Alligator mississippiensis: one gene and its partner. The protein of the gene in region 1 purifies or fractionates together with the protein of each later gene. This does not show direct contact. Links are inferred from orthologs where the notes say so. Each region holds a gene or a part of one and is shown in the gene's direction. Other genes may lie near its edges.

The links. The genes of interacting proteins can lie anywhere in the genome.
Region 2: the proteins of SLC30A2 (region 1) and METTL9 purify together in Homo sapiens (co-immunoprecipitation; 3 studies listed by BioGRID and IntAct, with this or other methods). This does not show direct contact. The link is inferred for Alligator mississippiensis from reciprocal best matches to the Homo sapiens genes SLC30A2 and METTL9.

The regions. Positions count from the first base shown.
Region 1 is NC_081829.1:3,293,859-3,303,951, forward strand, and holds the start of SLC30A2 (proton-coupled zinc antiporter SLC30A2), read left to right. Parts: upstream 1-6,005; 5' UTR 6,006-6,145; coding exon 6,146-6,195; intron 6,196-6,673; coding exon 6,674-6,888; intron 6,889-7,445; coding exon 7,446-7,592; intron 7,593-9,193; coding exon 9,194-9,347; intron 9,348-9,895; coding exon 9,896-10,073; intron 10,074-10,093. Other genes in the region: E3 ubiquitin-protein ligase TRIM63, read left to right, coding at 911-1,079, 1,607-1,702, 2,186-2,419, 2,819-2,841, 3,291-3,415, 4,020-4,094, 5,199-5,209.
Region 2 is NC_081836.1:46,714,993-46,724,362, forward strand, and holds the start of METTL9 (protein-L-histidine N-pros-methyltransferase), read left to right. Parts: upstream 1-5,681; 5' UTR 5,682-6,005; coding exon 6,006-6,179; intron 6,180-9,370. UniProt on the Homo sapiens protein: Protein-histidine N-methyltransferase that specifically catalyzes 1-methylhistidine (pros-methylhistidine) methylation of target proteins.

The DNA.
Region 1 (10,093 bases):
GATTTTGTCCCTAACGTCCCAGCTCCCGGGGTCTGGTGAATCCGTAGGAATCCAATCGCTATTTTTATTTAAATGAATTTTCAAGAGAAAAGTTGGAAAACAGGTCCCTCGATGCCTCCAGAACCAGAAACCACAGAAAAATACTGCCCAGATTTACCAAGTTTATGCCTGTCTCCATGTTCCCAGGGCGGGAGGTGTGATGCTTTGAGTGCAGAGGGGTGGCCAGGGTTGACTTGATTTAACTCCCCTTCTCTCAGCTGCAGTCATGTTACCTATAAAAGGGGAAGCCGACCAAAGGGGCCAGGGCTCAACTGCCTGTGTTTAAATATACCCTGGGCTCCTGCAGAAGGAAATAAAGATCTAGCGGCACCAGGAGTTGGCCTTAAAGAGGCGCGAGGAGCCTCTAACTTGATGGCACCCTGTGTCTATAATTAGGAGATTCTGCATCCTCCGTGAATCTGGGCCCAAGGCACCAGGGACTTAATCATCCTAGTGGATCTAGTCACCTCTATGGCTTGCTCTGCGCTGGCTGGGGGTAGGGCAGAGTGATGCCTGCCGGGAGGTGGTAATCTCAGAGACACGAGTTTGAACGCTCTGAGAACTGGCTCTGAGTGGTGGCGAGAAGGACTGATGGCAGGTGGCACCACTGGACAGGGCTGTCTAGTCCTGACCCTTCCCTTCATTAGCACCAAGGGCAGACAGAACCGGCCTCCCGGGTGCTGGACACAGCATCACAGCAATGAAAATGAGACCCAGATCTAGCCCCGTCCCTCCGAGCCGGGGCTGGAGAGGCTGGGGCTGGGGGAGGTTCAACCGCACTAAGACCCTGGTCCAGGCTTTGGGCTCATGCCACAGCTCAGTCCTAGGCCCGGGTGCCAGCGCTGCTAATGCCTGCCTCCTTTCCCTGCAGCAGGCCCCTGAAGAAGGGCAAACACCCCATGTGCAAGGAGCACGAGGACGAGAAGATCAACATCTACTGCCTGACCTGCGAGGTGCCCACCTGCTCCATGTGCAAGGTCTTTGGGGCTCACAAGGACTGCGAAGTCGCCCCCCTCCAGAACGTCTTCCAGGGGCAGAAGGTACCAGCGACCCTGGGGGCAGGGGAGCAGCCAGAGGCCAAGGGATGCCCTGCCGTGTCCCTAGAGGGGTTCCCATCCGGTCCCCTGGAACGTTGATTGGCCTCCAGGGATGGGGGGAGGCTCTGCTGGAGACACCCGAGAGGTGCTGAGCCGTGCCTTTCGGGAATAGCTTCGGAGCCCCGTCACCGGGGTATTCATAGCCGGGTGTGGAGAAGTCACCTTCTATATTTAGAGCCCCTCACGAGGCCAGCACTGGCTCCAGGGGCAGCGGGTTCTAGGCACCTGGGAAGGAAGGAATTGCTTGAACAGGGTCCACATATGGCAGGATCTCTCCCGGCACGCACCATGGCACCCCTTGCTCTGTGCACTGGGTTCGGGGGGAGTCTGAGAGCCCTGAGCAGAGACAAACCTGATTGATCCTGGTGTCCACACCCGGAGGGACCAGGCTACCCCCCACCATCCTCCTGCCCCCCCCAAGAGACCAGCAGGAGGGCTGAAGCCACCTCTATTTCTGTCCTCCCTCGCAGACCGAGCTGAGCAACTGCATCTCCATGCTGGTGGCGGGGAATGACAGGGTGCAGACAATCATCAACCAGCTGGAGGAGTCCTGCCGCGCCACCGAGGTGAGGCACGGGGAAAATGAGTGAGCCTGCGGAAACCCGAGTGGCCCCAGAGAAACCCGACCCTGAGCCACAGCCTCAGAGGGCTAGCGTGGGCGTTGGGTGCTCGGCCCTGTCCCCGAGATAAAAGCACACATGGACGGTCCCTCAAGGCCACAAGGAGGGAGAGAGCTCCCAGAAGTCCTGGCTTCCAGCTCCTTCTTTTAAGTCTCAGATTCAGAGTCTCTTACTAGTCAAACCAGGGATTGCTTTCCCCTTCCCTGGTGGCTTGCACCAGTATGTTTGTCCCCCCCCAATGTTGCCTCCCTTGGGGATCCTCTGGGGCCGAGAGCTGAGCTCGGGGCACGTATCAGCAGGCGCGAAGGAGTGTATGAGGCTGGCCCCTGCCCCGGGCAGCAGCGAGGTGCCCTGCTCCGTGGTGGGGTCTGGGAGCTGTGCCCACCCCTTCCCTGCCAGCCGGGCACTCATGCTGTGCTTCCTCGGCAGGAGAACAGCCAGCGGGTGCGGCAGGAGCTGTGTGAGAAGTTTGACACCCTGGCCGCCGTCCTGGAGGAGAAGAAGAACGAGCTGCTGCAGCGCATCACCGCGGTGCTAGAGCACAAGACCGGCTTCCTCCAGGCCCTGGTGCAGAAGTACAAGGAGCAGCTGGAGAAGTCCAGCAAGCTGGTGGAGACGGCCTTCCAGTCCATGGAGGAGACCGGAGGTGCCACCTTCCTCATGGTGAGCGGCGTCTGCCACCGGGCGTAGGACATGGGGAGGAGGGGATGGGCGCTGACGGGAGCCTGGGTCTAATCATGCTGCCTGCCCCCATCCAGAGAGATTCCCCCACCTGCCAGATTGTGTCTCCTTTCAACCCAAGCCAGCAGCCACTGGCTGTGCCCTTTGCTACCCCAGCCAGCTGCCAAGCTCCAGCCTAGCAAAAGGGAGCTCCCCAGAGCAGCTGGGCAACATGCTCTGGCTCCAGGCAGCTGCTTCTCAAGGCTCCCCCACATCCCCAACCCTTCCCACGACTGATATCCAGTGGGTGTCAGCTCCACCCTGCTGCTTTGGCAGCCTTCAAGGCCAGTTCTGCTAACCCTTTCTCTCTCTCTCTCTCTCTCTCTCTCTCTCCCCCCACAGAACGCCCAGAAGCTCATTAAAACGTAAGTCCCCAGGATGCATTAGTGAGCCACTACCTCGGTGCCACGCTCATTGTCCCAGCAAAGTCAACGTCCCCCGAGGGAGCTTCAGTTCCCGGGGGGAGCCCTTACTCAGGGTGCAGCTTAAACGCCAAACTCCTTGCAAACCAATTCAAGAGCACACACAGCGCTGCTGCATGGTGTCTCCGTTGTGATACCCCAGCCAGCATGAAAGTGGGACAGGGCGGGACGCTTGAGGGCTATGGGGCTGCTCTGCTAAGTCCTTCTGACTCCCTGGTCCATGTCAGCTCCCCTGTGCATGTGAGAGGGGCTCATGAGCTCAGTTTAAATTGGTTTGTAAATGGCTTTAGTCTAACCAGTGGCCAGGGCTCTGTGGGCAGTGGTTTCAGTCCAGCTGAAATGGGCTCCTAAGTGAGTTAAAACTGAAAGGAGCTTTTTCCTGCCTCCTCCAGAATCGTGGAGGCATCGAAGGGTGGTCTGCTGGAGAAGATCGAGGAAGGCTTTGAGAACATGGACTCCTTCAGCCTGGACCTGGAGTCCATCATGGAAACCCTGAGGGCTATTGACTTTGAAGCAGGTATTGTCCTTCTCTGGCCCCTTCCACTCATGCGTTGCCTGAAAGCACTTTTCTTGTGCTGTCCACCCAAGCGTGCTTTGCAGGCACTGATCGAGCTCAAGGGTTAGAGGAACAGCCAGGTAGCTAGGAGGACGGCCTCTGAATCAGAGCTTCCTAGACCCTAAATGCTGGAGGCTGCACGTAGGAGAGGAACGGTGGGAAAAATCCTGGGTCAGACCCTGTTCGCTCTCCCCTTCAGCATCAGCTCTCTGCTGCTGTGTGACAGAGGAGACTGGGCAGGATGGACCTACGGTCTGACCCAGTCAATGGCAGTTCTTCCGTTCTGATTTTCTTCACAACCCCCACGGGAAAGGGGCACCAGACCCACTTTACAGAAGGGAAAACCGAGGCCTAGAAACTCCAAACCAACTCACCCAAAGCTAGGCAATAATTTATTAGACAAACCAAGTACAGAATCCAGGGCATGTCTCTTCACAGTCTAAGAGACATCCTTCTTTCCCTAACCCCAAAGAAAATGCCGACACGGAGGTGTGAGGGTGTCTTCTCTTGTATAAGCGCCGGGGCGGGACTGAGGGGTTCTAAATCACACCCTTTGTGTTTGAAGAGGAGGAAGAGGAGGAATTTAATGAGGAGAGAGAAGAATCAGAAGAGGAGCTGTCTCAAGAACAGAAAGTCGATGGTAAGTCGAGAGCGGAGCGCGGCAGGCTGGCGAGTGGTACAAACCCAGGGACTCGCAGCCCTCCTGGGTCAGGCCCTGCAGACAGAGGCGCCCGGTCTGTTCCTGCTGCAGCATCTCGTACCCCTCACTAAAATAGCAATGAGCTCCTTTGTGCGCTGCGGGGTACAGCTTCCACTCTGCTGAGACCCAACGGCGCGCTCTTGTTGCAAAAAAAGCAGCAGCCTCCTAGGCTGTACGAACAGGAGCATCGCTTGTAAATCAAGGGCCGCGATTCTGCCGCTCTGTTCAGCATGGGTGAGGCCTCCCCTGGACCCCCGTGTCCAGTTCTGGGCCCCGTACGTCAGGAGGGATGTGGTCAGTTTGGGAAGAGTCCACTGCACTGCAATAAAAGTGATCAGGGGCCTGGGAGGCAAGACTGATGATGACAGGCTGCAAGAGCAAGGGCTGTTTAGTCTGGAGAAGAGAAGATTGAGGGGGCATTTAATCACTGTCTTCACCTCCCCGGAGGGTGATGACAGAGAGGATGGAGATGGGCGTTAGGGGGACCACAGGCAACAGGACTAGGAGCCATGGCTTCATGCCGCAGCAGGGGAGATTCAGATTGGAAATGAGGAGGAACTTGGTGACTTGAAGGGTGGTCGAGCATCGGGAGGAGCTGTGGGTCCAGCTATCACAGCATCCTGCCTCTGACAGTGGGATGCTTTAGGGAGAGCATTGAGCTGGGTAGATCTGGTGACCCATCCCCTAGTCGTTACCCTCCCCTAACGGTTTAGAGGTGCCAGAGCAAACGTCTCCACTTGTTCTGTTCAGCAGCTATTAACAGGACAGTGCAGGAAACTCCCTCTGAGGCATACGCTGCCTGACTTTCTGGAACCCTTGCAGGGAGGAACAGCAGGTGCTACAAAGCAGGGGTCGGACAGGGTGTAAGGATGAGGCTTTTCTCACTGCAGACCTCTCAGGGGTGGAAGGGACTCCCCAGAGGCAGTGGTCAAAGTCCCATTGGGTTTAAGTGATGCCTGGGGGAAATTTCCCATCTCCCCTTCACTCCTCAATCTCCTCCTGCCATCAGCCCCCCTCACCTCGTCTCCACCCCTCCTCTTCCAGCACCTCAATAACGGAGCAGGAGGAAATCCAGAGCCGAAGAAACTCCCGTGCAGGGAGCGGATGGATTAGCAGTCGGGGGACGGGGTGGGGGAACACTCTGACTTTGTGCCAAGCTGCAGGAGGCGGCGTCCGGCGTCCTGGATCCCGGGGAAGAGTCGGGCTTGGCCAAGCAGGATGAAAACTTGAGCAACGGACACTTTTCTATACGGGTGCAAACAGGAATATTCCGTACATTTTATACGGCCTCTTTTTGTATATAATTGTGACAGGACTTGAACCTTGTTGTCTTTTGTAAAAGCAGCTCTGTTGCTCCTTCCTTGTGCCCTGCCCGCTCGCAGGGGCGGGCGATGCTGGTTCTGGGAATGACGGAGTTTCTTTGCAACTGGGGGCGGGCGGGGGGTCCAGGTAGGACAGCACCACACCTCAGCGCGCAGAAGGAGCTGGAGCAGCTAGAAAGGCTTTTCTTGTGTTGTGTTTGTTGGGGGTCCAGCTGAGCGCCCTCCCACGACCAGGCTCTGCGAGGCGCGGGCTCCCACGGGATTTATTGTTCACCTTGCACATTGTTACAATAAAGGACCTCGGGTCTTATCTGTGCCTGGCAGCCTGGGTTTCTCGCCGGCCTTGGCGCTCGGGGCCGGGCTTTCGGAGGGGCCGAGCCCAGGTGATTTGGGAGCAGCAAACCCCCTCCTTCAAGCACTTCTAGTCTCCTCCCGGAGCTCGGCACCACGGCGCTGGGCCCCGGGAAGCGCGAGCAGCCCCGGGCGGGGGCTCCCGCAGCCGAGGGCGTGCCCCGCGGGGCCGTGCGCACCGGGCGGCGGGAGCCCGGCCGCGCTCCAGGTGCTCGGCGCTGCACGTGTTGCAGCCGGCGCTGCCGGCCGCCCTCCGCCCCGCTGCACACGGGCCCGCTCCGCTCCGCTCCGGAGGAGGCAGCCGGGGCCGGCGGCGGCATGGAGCGCGGCGAGGAGCGGCGGCACCTGCTGCACGAGCCCGCGGCCGGGTGAGGACGGGGCTCCGGCCCCTCCCTGCTGCCCCCAGTGCCCGCAGCGCCCCCAGCCCCCTGCCACGGTGCCCCTAACCCCCCGGTGCCCCCAGTCCCATTTGCCCCACTCCTAGTGCCCCCAGCCCCTGGGTCTCTGCCCTGCTCACTGGGGCGGGGAAGGGGGTTCAGGGCTGCAGGGGAGGCGGTGGGAGCTCCTGGGGAGGCTGCCAAGACTCCCAGGAGTGATTCCCTGGGAGCCCGGCCTGGCCGGGGAGAAAGGGCTGGATGTCAGCGGGTGGGCGCTCGGGGTCTGAGCCTCCCAGCGGCCGCTCTCCTCTCTTCGGGCGCTGCTTTGGGGTGGGCTGGAGATGAACCCGTGGTCCTTCATTCGCGGGCCCCCATTTCGATTGCAAACCTCTGCCCGCCCCCCACGGTCTCCCCTCCCGAGCCGCCCGCCACCCCCAGGGCGGGCAGTAAGGGCAGCTCTGCGCTTCAGGCCCTGCCTCGGCGTGTCGGGGAAGGATTTCCACAGCTCCGTGCTCAGGTACATGCCGGACCTGGCCTCCATCGAGCTGGGGGTACAGGGCAGCCAGCACTGCCACTCGCAGCGGGTCACCGACGACCACGGCGGCTCCGATAAGGAGCGGGCGCGAAGGAAACTCTACCTGGCGTCGCTGATCTGCCTGGTCTTCATGACGGGGGAAGTTATAGGTGAGGTGCAAGCCGTCTCCACTTGATAAGAGCTGAAACATCCATGAAAAGGACTCGTTTTCCTCCCACTGCCCTGTGTTACGTGTGGCTGTTCTTCCCTGCCGCGTTCCACCCTAGAAGCAATTGCATTTGAGCACGGCAGTGTGACCACGGTAGTATACCTGCAGGTCTGGCTGAGGGCCCCATCCCCGCAAGGACCAGGCCAGCCTGGGGCAGCAGGCCAGTCTCTGCCTCTCTTCCTACCCACGAGACAGAGCTAGCGTAGGGGCAAGGCTGAGTGGTGCGGGACCCGCAGAGCTGAGGCTTCTCTGTGCTGTAGTAGAACAGGGGAGAGCACCTAAAATCACAGCCCTCCCCAGGCTCCCTTCCTGCATCGGGACAGACACAGCGAACATTTGGCTTCAGAGAAATCCCAGCAGCCCCAGCACATGGCCTGCAACTTTTTGGGGGGTTGCCCCCTGTACCTCTGAGCTTGCACCCTGGCACCTCCCTCGCCTGGGGCTGGGCATGCTGGGAGGATCCCCTGTGCAGCGTGCCCCACGTTCTCCACCCCGCAGGGGGATACCTGGCCCACAGCCTGGCCATCATGACGGACGCGGCCCACCTGCTGACGGACTTCGCCAGCATGATGATCAGCCTGTTTTCCCTGTGGATGGCCTCACGCCCGGCCACCAAAACCATGAACTTCGGCTGGCACCGAGCAGGTACTGTGGATGGGGGTGGTCTGTAGGGTGGCAAGCTGCCTACATGGGTAAGTCCTCGCTACCTCTCCGTCCACCACTGACCAGCTCTGGGGATCGTGGAGGCTCTCCTGCCTGGGGTGACCTCCCCATCTGTGCCTTGTTGGACCAGGAGTGGAAGGTGCATCCCCTCCCTTCTGACGCGGGGCTGGGAGACGGGACAAAGTGCCCCTGTCCAGCCTTACAGCCCGTAAAACACTCGTGGCTCTTGAGCAGTGAGGTGTGCTTGAAGCTGGGGCCAAGGTGTGGAGGGTCATGCCCTCCACAGCTGGACATGAGCAGATCCTGCTGAAATCAGCAGTGGCCTGTGCCTGGCCTCAGCCCCGCTATCTCAGCAGGGCAGGCCTTTGTTCTGGAAATCCTAGAGGCCCAGGTGTCTGTTATCACTTCCACGGCCCTTGGGCTTTCTAAATGCCCCCTCCAGGAGTTCCTGCCTGGGCTCTCCCCCTCCCTGCCCTGCTCTCCTTTCTGGTAACAAGTGTTTGTGCAAGCGCAGGGTCTGAGCCTGGTTTCTGCTGGCACAAACCGTGGGCTTTGCTACTCCACTGGCAGTTTAGGTTGGGATTAACTATTCAGCCCTGTACGGTGGCTGCAGCCCTGGCCTCTGGATCCAGAAGGCCAAATGTGAGCCCAGAAGCTGGGCTGTTCTCCCTGAAACCACTGAGGCTGGGTGTACGCTACACAGCCTTGCCAGTGTAGCTGTGCCAGGTAGGAGTTGGCAGGGGGGCAAAATCGCCCACCATGAAGAGCACCGGGACAGTACAGAGTCTAATGGAGATGCAGGGATACCAGTAAATAAATGCCTCTTTAGCCATCCCAGCTTTCTGCTGCTCTACGGAGTTGCTATAAGCCATGCAGCAAGAGTCCTCGGGCTGGCATAGCCCCTCCGCGGTGCTAGCAGGGGTGCCAGCAGCCCCTTTAAATGCGTGGACTGCAGATACTGAGATTCGTAGAGAGGTGGCTGGCTTGTTAAGAGGAAAGCATCGCTGCAGCTGCTGCAGAGCCAGTGCAGGTCTTGCGAGGGGGAAAGGACACCATGCTGCATCTCCCTCGGTCATTTGTGACTGCTGTGTGCAGCTGCCTTACGGCGTTGATGCTAAAGGGCCTAGACTGTCCTAACTGAGTGCCCTGCCTTCTGTGCTGCTGTGGTTCGTGCAGTGCCGGTGGGCTGGACTTGCAGCCTTTTAGCCCTGGGGTCTCAGAGCTGCTGTGATTTGCCTCCAGAAGGTGCAGGGGGAAGCAGTGGGGCTGGAAAAGCAGCTGGCCCTGGAGGAGCAAGTTTAAGCTTTGTGCACAGGGGCCTCTCCAAGTCCCCGTGCTTAGCTGTAGTTCCAGGGGCTGGTACGGACCATCAAGGAACTAGAAATGGCAAGCAGAGGCCTTCCCCCAATGCTGCCGGCTTCACAGTGCAGGCCGTAGAGGGGGTGCTGGAGCTGAATGGGGGGAGCTGCTTTGGGAGATGAAGGGAGGCTGCCGTGGCCACTCCAGGTCCAGGAGAGGCTGGGGGCGTGGGGAGAGCTCGGAGGTGAAGCATTCGCTCTAACCCTGGCCTTGCCCCCCCGCAGAGATCCTGGGGGCCCTGCTCTCGGTGCTGTCCATCTGGGTGGTGACGGGTGTCTTGGTCTACCTGGCTGTGGAGCGGCTGCTCTCCAACGAGTACGAGATCCGAGGGGAGGCCATGCTCATCACCTCAGCCTGCGCCGTGGCCGTGAATCTCATGTGCGTGGCTCTGGGGGTGGGCTTGGAGAGAATGGGCGGGAGTTGCTGGCTAATGGCAAAGGCTAACTCCCTCCTATGGGAATGCCCCGACTGGCTGGTAAGCCTTGGTCACCCCTAGGGATAATTAATCCAGGGACTGGGAGGTCTTCTAGGGCTGGAAGCTGGGGGATCCCTGTGGGTTTCCAGGATCAGGTCCTGGTCAGCCAGATGCCAGCAGGGATTTTGCTCATGAATGCAGAAGCTCTGGGCACCTCTCTAACCCACCTCCCCATGCCACAGCCTCTTGACATGTGCCCTGCAGAGGTGAGGATTGCCCCCTCCCCTCTCCTTGAACCCCAGCTGGATGAGAAGGGGCTTGGGGGTGAGACAGGCCCCTGCCTCTGGGGGTGCAGCTGCACTGATGGTGCATTTAGAGCAGGCCAGGCCAGACTAGGCCAGCCGTTGCTGCAGGCTGCAATGGCAAGCAGGGCCCGTTTCCATGAGCTTCAGGCAAGGGGAAAGGCAGAGGCAGCTCCCTCGATGCCCTGACACCTCCATCTCCTCCGTAGGATGGGTGTTTCCCTCCACCAGACCGGGCATGGCCACAGTCACCACGGCCATGAACACGGTCCCCACGGCCCTGATGCCCAGCCCAACCCCAGTGTCCGTGCCGCCTTCATCCACGTGGTCGGGGACCTGCTGCAGAGCATCGGTGTCCTGGTCGCTGCCTACGTCATCTACTTCAAGGTGCAATGCAGAGGTGTGGG
Region 2 (9,370 bases), on another chromosome or scaffold:
CAATTATTCACCAGAGTGCCCCAAGGGATGACAAGATAGAACGGTTATAAACTGCTCCGCGAGCAGTTCAGGCTGGACATAAGGAAGAACTTGTTTACTGTCCAAGCTCTCAAGGTTCGGAATAGACTGCTGCTGGAGGTGGTTCAAGCACCCACTTTGAATGCCTTCAAGACATGCATGGATGTGTATCTTGCTGGGATCCTATGATCCCTGCTGACTTCCTGCCCTTTGGGCAGGGGGCTGGACTCGATGATCCTCTGGGGTCCCTTCCAGCCCAAATGTCTATGAAATCTATTCAATTAAAGGGGGGTGGGGGGATGACAGGGCTCCTTAGCTTTCTTTTTGTTCATCCTTTTTCTCTCTCCCATCAACAGAGCAGAAGCATCTATTGCTATGTAAAGCATTATTAAAAGAGACCTGGGGCAATTGATGAAGTTCAAGTGGCAGTCACTCATCACAAAAATTAGCAATAGGTGGACCAGACTTTTTGATAGAAATGGAGACTAAAACAGCATCTAAAACAGTTATATTTTTGGTATCTTTGCTGAACCTACAAGATCCCTTTAACTAATAGTATGACCATGCCAGGGGTGACACATAGTGGGTGCACACAAGTGCATGTGCACCCTGTGTGTGGTGGTGCACCCCCTACAGAAAGGCGTTGCCCACACTGTTGCTGTTGCCTGTAGACAGCAGCCGCTTGCCACCCCAACACCAGCCTGCAGTCCCCACTGGCTACCGCCACCGCTGCTGGCAGCAGCTGCAGGTGGTCACTGACCCTTGGTCAGTGCTTGCCCGCTGCCCCCCCACACTGGCAACAGCGCTGCCGCTGGCTGCGGGAGCTCCACCACTTATCCCCACTGCCACTGGGGGCACGAGTCATTCATGGACCATGCAAAAGTGTAATCTGTTTCAACTGCTGATTTGTCTATGTTAACACAGGCTGGAACCTGAGCCTGAAGTCACATGGCTGACAAAATGCCTCATATTAATCTTACTATTTTCAAAATATCTAAACTAGGCTCATCATATGTAAAATAGAGTATAGTATTGGGAAACATTACAATAGTTTAACAATATTATAAGCCTAAATCCTATTACATACGTTTCCTTAAGACTTCTCTCTATAGATTCTCAGAATATATTAATGTATCAAATTAATTTTACTTACTTTAAAATTAATATGCAAAAGTCCATGCTAGATGTAACTGGATGATAGGTACTAGGTCTTAAAGAATCTTTTTTTAACCTAATAAAGCCATGATGAGATACAGGACAGGTCAATGGTATAGTCAAAGCAGACTGAACAAATGGCAACAAAAACTCTCATTATTAAAACACAACAAATACAGACTCTGTTAAATAAATGGAATTCCTCCTTTTTTGGCAAAGTATCTAAACCTTTGGATGATTTTTGGATCTCTTGTGGGACCACAATTAATAGGTAAGTCTGTAATGATTTTTTCCAACAAAAAGCAAATGGGGAAGGAGAAAAATGCTGGCCAGCAAAATGAAGAGAAAGTAAGAAAAGATATTTGTACCAGAATATCTACAGATCATCACTCTAAAGCTAATTGCTTTTAAATGTGTGTGTGTACTGTGTATTTTTTTAAGATACAGTATTCTTAGATTGTATAGCAATTCGATACAGGACATAGTTCCATCAGAGTTTGGCAAAAAGTTTGGGAATGCATCATAATTATTACTTGCCATTCACCTGATCAGTACATATTTTACAGTCTTGGAAGAGGAAAATATGCTTTGCATACAAATACTTGCAACAGAATATTAATCACATAAACGATTAGTAGCTATATAGCACTTGATAGAAACTCTGAAATATCTCATTAGAAATGTACCCAAAACCTAAAGGTAGTAACTTTTTTTTGTTTAATTAATAGGCAGATCATGATCTAGTTTAGATATGATAAAAAATTAGCTGATATCTCTTTCATTGTGAAACTGTAAAGCTATGTGCAACTAATCTAAAGCTATGTGCAACTAACCATTTAATTAGCAGTTTATATATTGGAAGCAGGCATTTGTTTAAAAAGCAGAAAACTTAGCTTTGTCATCTGGCATTTGGACTGCAATGTTATTTCATTCCTTGAGAAAATAGGCTGATCTATACTTGTAAACAGCAATGTACACAGAGAAGGGCTTCCTAATTCAAACCAGACAGAAACAGAGTAAAAAGGCATCTTAGCCCTTCTACCTAAGGGAGAAAATTCTTCCTCTGGAAAAAACTGCCCCTGGCAAATGTCTAAAGTTGTTCTGTCAAAAACTGTCCTTAAGAAAGCTAAACATAAATGATAGTGAACTTAACAGAAAGATCCTTTAGCAATATTCTTGTTGTTGCTCTAGTTTTGTCAGCATTTCACAACCTAAGAAGGGTTAGACTCGATTGGTACTTGGAGAAAAGACCCTCAAGGAGGATCCCAGAATGCCACATGAAGTGGTGCATTAACTTTGATGAGTGTCATTCTTAGTATGGCGTTAGGAGGTGCTGGAAGCCTGGCTTTCAAATGTGATTTAAAGAAAGGTGCCAACTGCTTGTGGTCATTGACGAGCACTTTCTTGGAGAACTGAAGTTGTTATCCCTGATGCCACAATCAAATTCTAGTTGGAACAACTGCACAGGCTCTACCTAAATGGTCTTGCTGTTTCAAGTGATTTCATATTATTCTTCATTTTCAGGCCTACACCGTCACCAGTAATATTTGTATACAGCATCATAGTTCTGCCTAATTGTACCAAATACATAAAACAGTCCCGTCCTAAAACATTTACAGCCTGGATCTGACCCCGCAAAAACTCCAGCAAGCTTGCTCAGACCCTACACTGTGCTAGACTGGAATATTCTAACAAGCAATATTTGATCTAGGACAATATTGGTAGGTTAAGGTAGTCTTCTGTTTGCCTTCTGTTGCCTCCTAGATGATTGAAGGTTTGTGTTTGCTTATTGATCAAAAGAATTAAAAGGGTTGTAAGGTTTCCTGGCAGTCTTCCATCATTCTAGCATGCAGGGGATACCAATGGAAAACTGACAGCTATAGGAACCAGAAAATATCTGTAACAAAGCACAAATGTTAGAAAACAAGGAAGTGCCCAGTTAACACAATGCCTTCTGTCCCATACCTTTAGGTTGGGGGTGTCAAACTCATCTGGCCCCGTGGACAAACCTCCGTCCAAACATCCAGCACATGTGGCACTCATTCTGCCCAGTCTTGCGACTGCACCACATAGCATATGGTCAGGGCCATTCCAAGACGTGTGCACTGCATGTCTGAGATATGCTCCATGTGGTGTCCACCGCAGAGCAGTCAACAGGGGAAGGGTAAGAAGTGTGCAGCGTGCATCCTGGATGGTCCCAAGCTCTGTGCATGCAGCATGTGGGCCAACTCCAGATCCAGGGACAGTACTGGGGGCCACATGATGAGGCTCTCCAGCCCAGATCTTTAACATCCCTACTTTTGGTTATATGTAGCTTAAAAGAATTTAAAGCACGACCATCCTTTCCTGTGGGGTTATGGACAATTTAATGTGAATTTCCTTGTCAAATGAGCTGCCTTGTATGCATTAACACTTTTCTCTGATTTTCTGGTCAAGTTCTCAATACACCCAAACGAACTGCTACTGAAGGACAGAGCATCAATAACCTTTTGGGTATAAGATTATCCAAAATTTATTTAGATATTGTTTAATCCTAGAAATGCTAGCTTCTGGCTGTAGGTCTGTTAATAACTGTAGTTTTTTTATTCTTAAAACACTGCTAATGCCAGATAACCTTCCTTCCTCTTGGTCTGAAGAAGCCTTAGATGCTCTAACATCCACATGCTTTTGAATGTTAGAAACACGAAACCTGCACTGAGTGTAATACACCTCACTCCCCCTCACATCAAAGTCTGTTGGTAAAGTTCCATCTGCTGAAGTATCACTACATTACTGATTTCCTGCTGAAGGCAAATTGCCTGCTTGAGTCTTCCCTGCTATCCTGAGGTAGGGTAGTGTAAAGGAGGAAAGTTTTTAAGGTAGCAAACCATAGCTGTAGACACATCCCTCATTGCTACTACGCATGGGTACACACAAATGCAAGAACCATCTGACAAGGCAGCCTTTTTGCCCCCTGATATAGAGAGAAGCCTCTGTGTAGGTTGGGCATTCCCTAACCTTGGACTGATTTCCTGTCTTGAGGACCTACTGGACGCATCTACATGAAACGCTATCTGCACAGTAGCCTAATAAAACAGCACCATAGTGCATCACAGCATGGACAGTGCTAATACACTACTGCACAGTATTAGGCTACTGCCCAGTAGTATCACCAAAAAGGTGTTCACCAGCACTACTGCACAGTAACTCTGGTTACTATGCATTTATTTAGTGCTTGGTTGTACAAATACTATGTTAAGTGCACAGTGACCACTGTGCATTAATGAACATGTACACTGTGTCCACTGTCCACCCATTTGAACAAGGGACTGCATGTGAGTGCTCTGTCAACACCCCCCTAGCAAGGCTATGATGGGATGGTGGCAGTAAAGTGAAAGGTTCTTTGTGGAAGCAAAATACCTGCTTCCTTCTGAAGCCGGGAAGAAACTGTTGACGATTTGGTCCTGAAATTCTGGACCTTGAACAGAGCAACACAACATGGTAAAGTGCAGTAAGGCCTTGCCTCCAATGATGTTAATCTATTTTGATCCACTGACTCCTGTTCTTGGGCAAGTCTTGAGTGACACCTTAGTATCATTAAAACAAAGAAGCTTTAGCAAAAAGCAAATACAGCAGCCTGTCTGCTGTGCTGTCCAGTGAGGATGCTGGGCCTTATAGCACAAAGCTAAAGATTCTCTGATCAGGGATCAATATGCCAAATATCTGGGGTCATGACTCTCAAGATGGGAATCCTGGTGAATTGAAAATGTGCTCATCTCCCAAGTGAGAGGGTGCTGGGGGTTTAGCCCCAAAGAACATCACTTCGTGTTACTAGGGTGTGGGTTGTAGCCCTGTTCTCTTACTCTTCCACCCAGGAAGAACACACCAACCGCAGACCCGTCGTCAGCCTGACAAGGGGTATTTATACCCGAAAGCTTGCCAAGAAGAATTTTTCCAACAATTTGAATTGGTCTAATAAAAGATATCTGATTTACCCCAAAACTCTGGCCTGCCTTTGTGTTGTTTTTCTCCCATCTAAGGCTGCATCATCATGCAGTGAAAGGGAGTTTAAAGGGAAATTTGAGTGGTTGTTTTCCACAGACGCATCTTGGGACCTGGCCCCACTGGGACGTTCCCGGCCCGAGCCAAGGGCACCCCAGGGACGAAGGCTGCCTGGGTGAATCACAGAGGATGTCTAAAGAAGTTTCTCCCCGTTTCCACTCCGCACCCAACGACTTGCTGTTTTGGGGAGGGGGTATCGTTGCCTCCCCCAGGCTCGAGCTCCCTCGTCCCGAGCTCTCAAGAAGCTGCCTGGGGAAAGCCCGGGGGTCCCCGCTCTGCCTGGGGGCAAGGGCTGCTTCCCCGGGCGAAGCGCGGGAGATGGGACCCCGGCGCCTAGCAGGGCACGTGCTGCCCGGGAGAGGCGGGCCGCGACGGGCGCGTGACGCGCGGGGGCGGAGCCGGGCAGGCTCCACCCGCGCGGGGGCTCCCGGGCCGCCTCCCGCGCTCCGGCAGCGAAGGGGTGGGCGCCGCCATTGTCCGCCCGGCCCGTTTTGAAAGCGGCGCCCCGCGGCGCGGGCCTAGCGCGCAGGGCCCCGGGGCGCTCTGTGATTGGCGGGCGAGAGGGAGGGAGCCGGCGCGTGCCAGGCCCCGGCGTGTCCCCGCAATCCGCTCCGGCCGGCCCCGCGGCCCGGCCCTCCCGGGTTCCGGCCTGTGCGTGCGCAGGGCCCCGGCGGGGAGCGCGGAGCTGGGAGCGGGGCCGGCCGAGCCGAGCCGAGCCGCCGCCGCTGCTGCTGCCATGGCGAGGGGAGGCGGGGGCTGCGGGAGGGCATGACTCCGCGGCCCGCCCCCCGATGAGGCGGTGGCTGGTCTGGCTGGGCTGCTACGCCGTGTTCCTGTGGGCGCTGCGGAGGAGGATGCGGGCTGGCCCCGCCAGGTCCCTCAGGAGCGCGCTGTCCAGGTCCCTGCACGCCACGATGATGGGCAGCCACAGCCCGCCGGCCCCGGGCACCGCGGAGACGCACCAGGTACGGCCCGGGAGCGCCCGGCCCCGCCTCGCCTCGCCTCGCCTCGCCTCGGGGGAGCGGCCGGCACGGGCCGGGCCGGGCCGGGCCGGGGGAGCCCGGGCCGCCGGCGGCGCTGGCGGAACAAAGGGAGGACGGTCCGGTTCCGCCCGCCCGGGCCGGCGGGCTGCGCGCTGTGCGGGGGCGCTCGGCCGGGGCTTTGTTGCGGGCCGGCTTCGCCCGCGGCCCGGGGGGAGCGCGGGGGGGCTGAGGCCGGGGCCGGCGGCTGACAGGCCGGGGGCGGGGGCGGGCTCCGGGGCTGCCACGCGGCTGAGGGCAGCGGGTCCCCTCGGGGGGCTGCGGGGCAGGAGGAGGGGGGTGCAGCCCCCGCCTGGGACGACCGGCCCCCTGCCAGGGCCCGTCGGCTGTCATCCCCGCCCTGGTGCTCGCCATCCGGTGCCGCCCAGCTCGCAAAGTTATGGAGGGGCCTCAGGGCGGGGAAGGCTGGACCCGCCAAGGTAGAGCACCCAGTGACGCGGGACGGGCCCTGCGCCCGAGTACGGAGGGACCTATCTGCAGGCGAGGGGTCGCGCAGGTTGGGGCGCCTACTTAGGCACCTGCCTCAGCCGGCAAGGGAGGAGTTGGGGAGGTGCCCTTTCTAGGTGCCCTCCAGGCCAGGGTGGTTAGATCCAGCGTATGCTCAGGCCTGGGCTCTGTGTTACCAAACCTGTGGCAGGAGTTCAGGAAGAAGAAAAATACTAATGGATTTTTTTAAAATTTTTTTTATGGAGCTTTTGATGACTTGAGAAAAATTATGTGAAATACACAACGTGGTTAGTGAGGTAGAAGTGGCTTATGAATATCTGAGGGATACAAAGGAAGGGGAGTAATGACCCTGCACACTTGGCTACCCAGCAGGCGATTCTGCTCACATGTTGCTGCTTGGACTTGGTTGGGGCTCTGCTGGAGCGCAGTGGTCTGGCGCGTACGCCAGGAGACAGGGAGGCAAATTTTAGGCTGACTATTGAGGGAAACTTCCTGACCTTAGAACAAAGGAAACCTTGGAGATGTGTAGTCTGGGATGTTTAAAACACTACACTGCATCAAGAAACTAAACTACATCAAGAAAGTGTACCGTTGGAGGTGATTGTTCCATTACAGGCAGAGAGACTGGGGGGTGGGGATCAGAAATTACAGATGAAAGAGATCTGGCTCTGGAGCTTCTAGCAATGGTTTATCTAGTGTTTAGAGAGCCTCTTAACAAACTGTGATTAATGACTTCCATGGGATTACTCTCATGAATTAAGACTACATGATAAGACCCAAATATCTGGTTTTTATCAGTTGTGCTGTTTTACTTTTTTGTTCTTACGTCCAGAATAAAAAAGTGAATTGTGCGCTAACATTTGACAACTAACTTTTTAGCAATAATAGTAGTAGAGAGATTTGACTATTTCTTTCCAGTAATGATATTCACTGGTTTCATTACAATACTGTTACAAACCCCTATTTTTGTTGTTTGTAAATTACTTACAAAAATTTGAAAAGAATTAAAAAAAACTTGTTAACTGATAGTTGGGTTCATAGTCTCTGAAGCTGTCCAGTTGTCAGCTCCTTTGTGGTGTGGAGTGGAGACTTAAGGATTCTATTGAAGCACATAGCACATGGTCTTCTTACCTCTTTAAATAATATTAAAAGGTTTTAAACTTATAGAAAGGACCTAGCAAAGTTAAATGTTCTGCTTTATGTCTGCAGTGTGTCGGATCGTTCTGTGTCCTAATATGAGACCCTAGTGTACCTAACTGTTCTTCTAGTATTTAAGAAAAGAGGAAAGTAGTAAAAGCACATGCCCGTGAAGAAATAGTTAGAGATGGACATTGCCTTCCTACTCTTGCTGCTTAAGGAGAGAATATTGAGTTTGGACTTGTTTATCCCAGACTTCATTCTTTCAATTTTTCCATTACTGCTGATGTGTGGTAGTGCTTTGGTGCTACTGAGGTTTTAACCTTTGTGTTGTCTAACCCTGTCCATGGTAAATTTAGGTGATGAATGTTTAAAAAAGGTGTTGGTTACTAGCGGCTTGTCTGTGCACTTTTCACTGTTGATTCCACCTGTGATGGAAGAAATTTTAAGGAGAAAAAGTCCAACATGGACAAGGAGTTAGAGCATTAAACCATGTTATATACAAACCTGTTCGAAAGCTTTGTTTGAGCTGTGAGTCTCTTTGAGAAGCTTGTGAACCATTTTGAAAATGGATTTAACTCCTGTAACATTTGCTTCTGTATGAAAAGGTCTTAAAATGTGTCATTGCTGTAAGTAGTTGATGGAGATTACTTGAAAAGCTGGAATATTTGCTGCAGCTGTCTGCTCCCCTCTGCTCGCTGGCACTGTTACTGCAAACCAGCAGGATGTTGAAATAAGAATCCTGTACCATTTTAATTTGTTTTGTTTTATAGTAGTACCTAGACATCCCATTGTACTAAACCTTGTGTAATAGAATTAATATGCCCATGATCATAGAGTTGTTTTGCCCCTCAGAATGGTTTGTGGTTTCTCAGTGTTCTCTGTATTGGGTGTGCTCAATTTACAAATAAAAAGATGTGTTTCTAATTACCAGTCCTGCAGACAAGTCAAGCTGGGTTCTTTCCTGCTTATGCATTAGCAACAGTAATAAATGTTTCTGGGTGCCAAGTTATCCTCTTAAACCTCTTTATCTGTGCAGTTCTCAAATTAGGCCCTTGCTGACCTCCGTGTTTTATCATTTCCTTCAGGGGACAGCACTGATGTGATTGACTGGAACTCAGTAAGCAACTCTCTTGGATGATGCATAAGAAGACATAGTATTCACACCTTAGTTTAGTTATTAAAGGAAGAAGTAATTATGTGAATGCACAAAAATTTGAGTAAGAGGGCCCACTTTCAGTCGCTTTCAAAAGAAGTAGACTAGCCTAAAAACAGGATGGATTAATTTCAAGCCATCAGATAGGCCCTGGCCCACTACCTGTTGGTGAGTTTCCTCTCCATTTTATGCCAATTCATACATGGTTGCAAGGCATCTTTCCCCATGGTATTTCCACCAATCTCCACTACCAAAGAACTTGGTAAAGAATATTGTGCCTATGAGTCCATGCTCTGAGGGGTTCACAAATAGAATCTCCAGTGGTGTAATTTACTTGCATGTCTTATGCCATTTTTATGTTCTCTGACTTGCATAT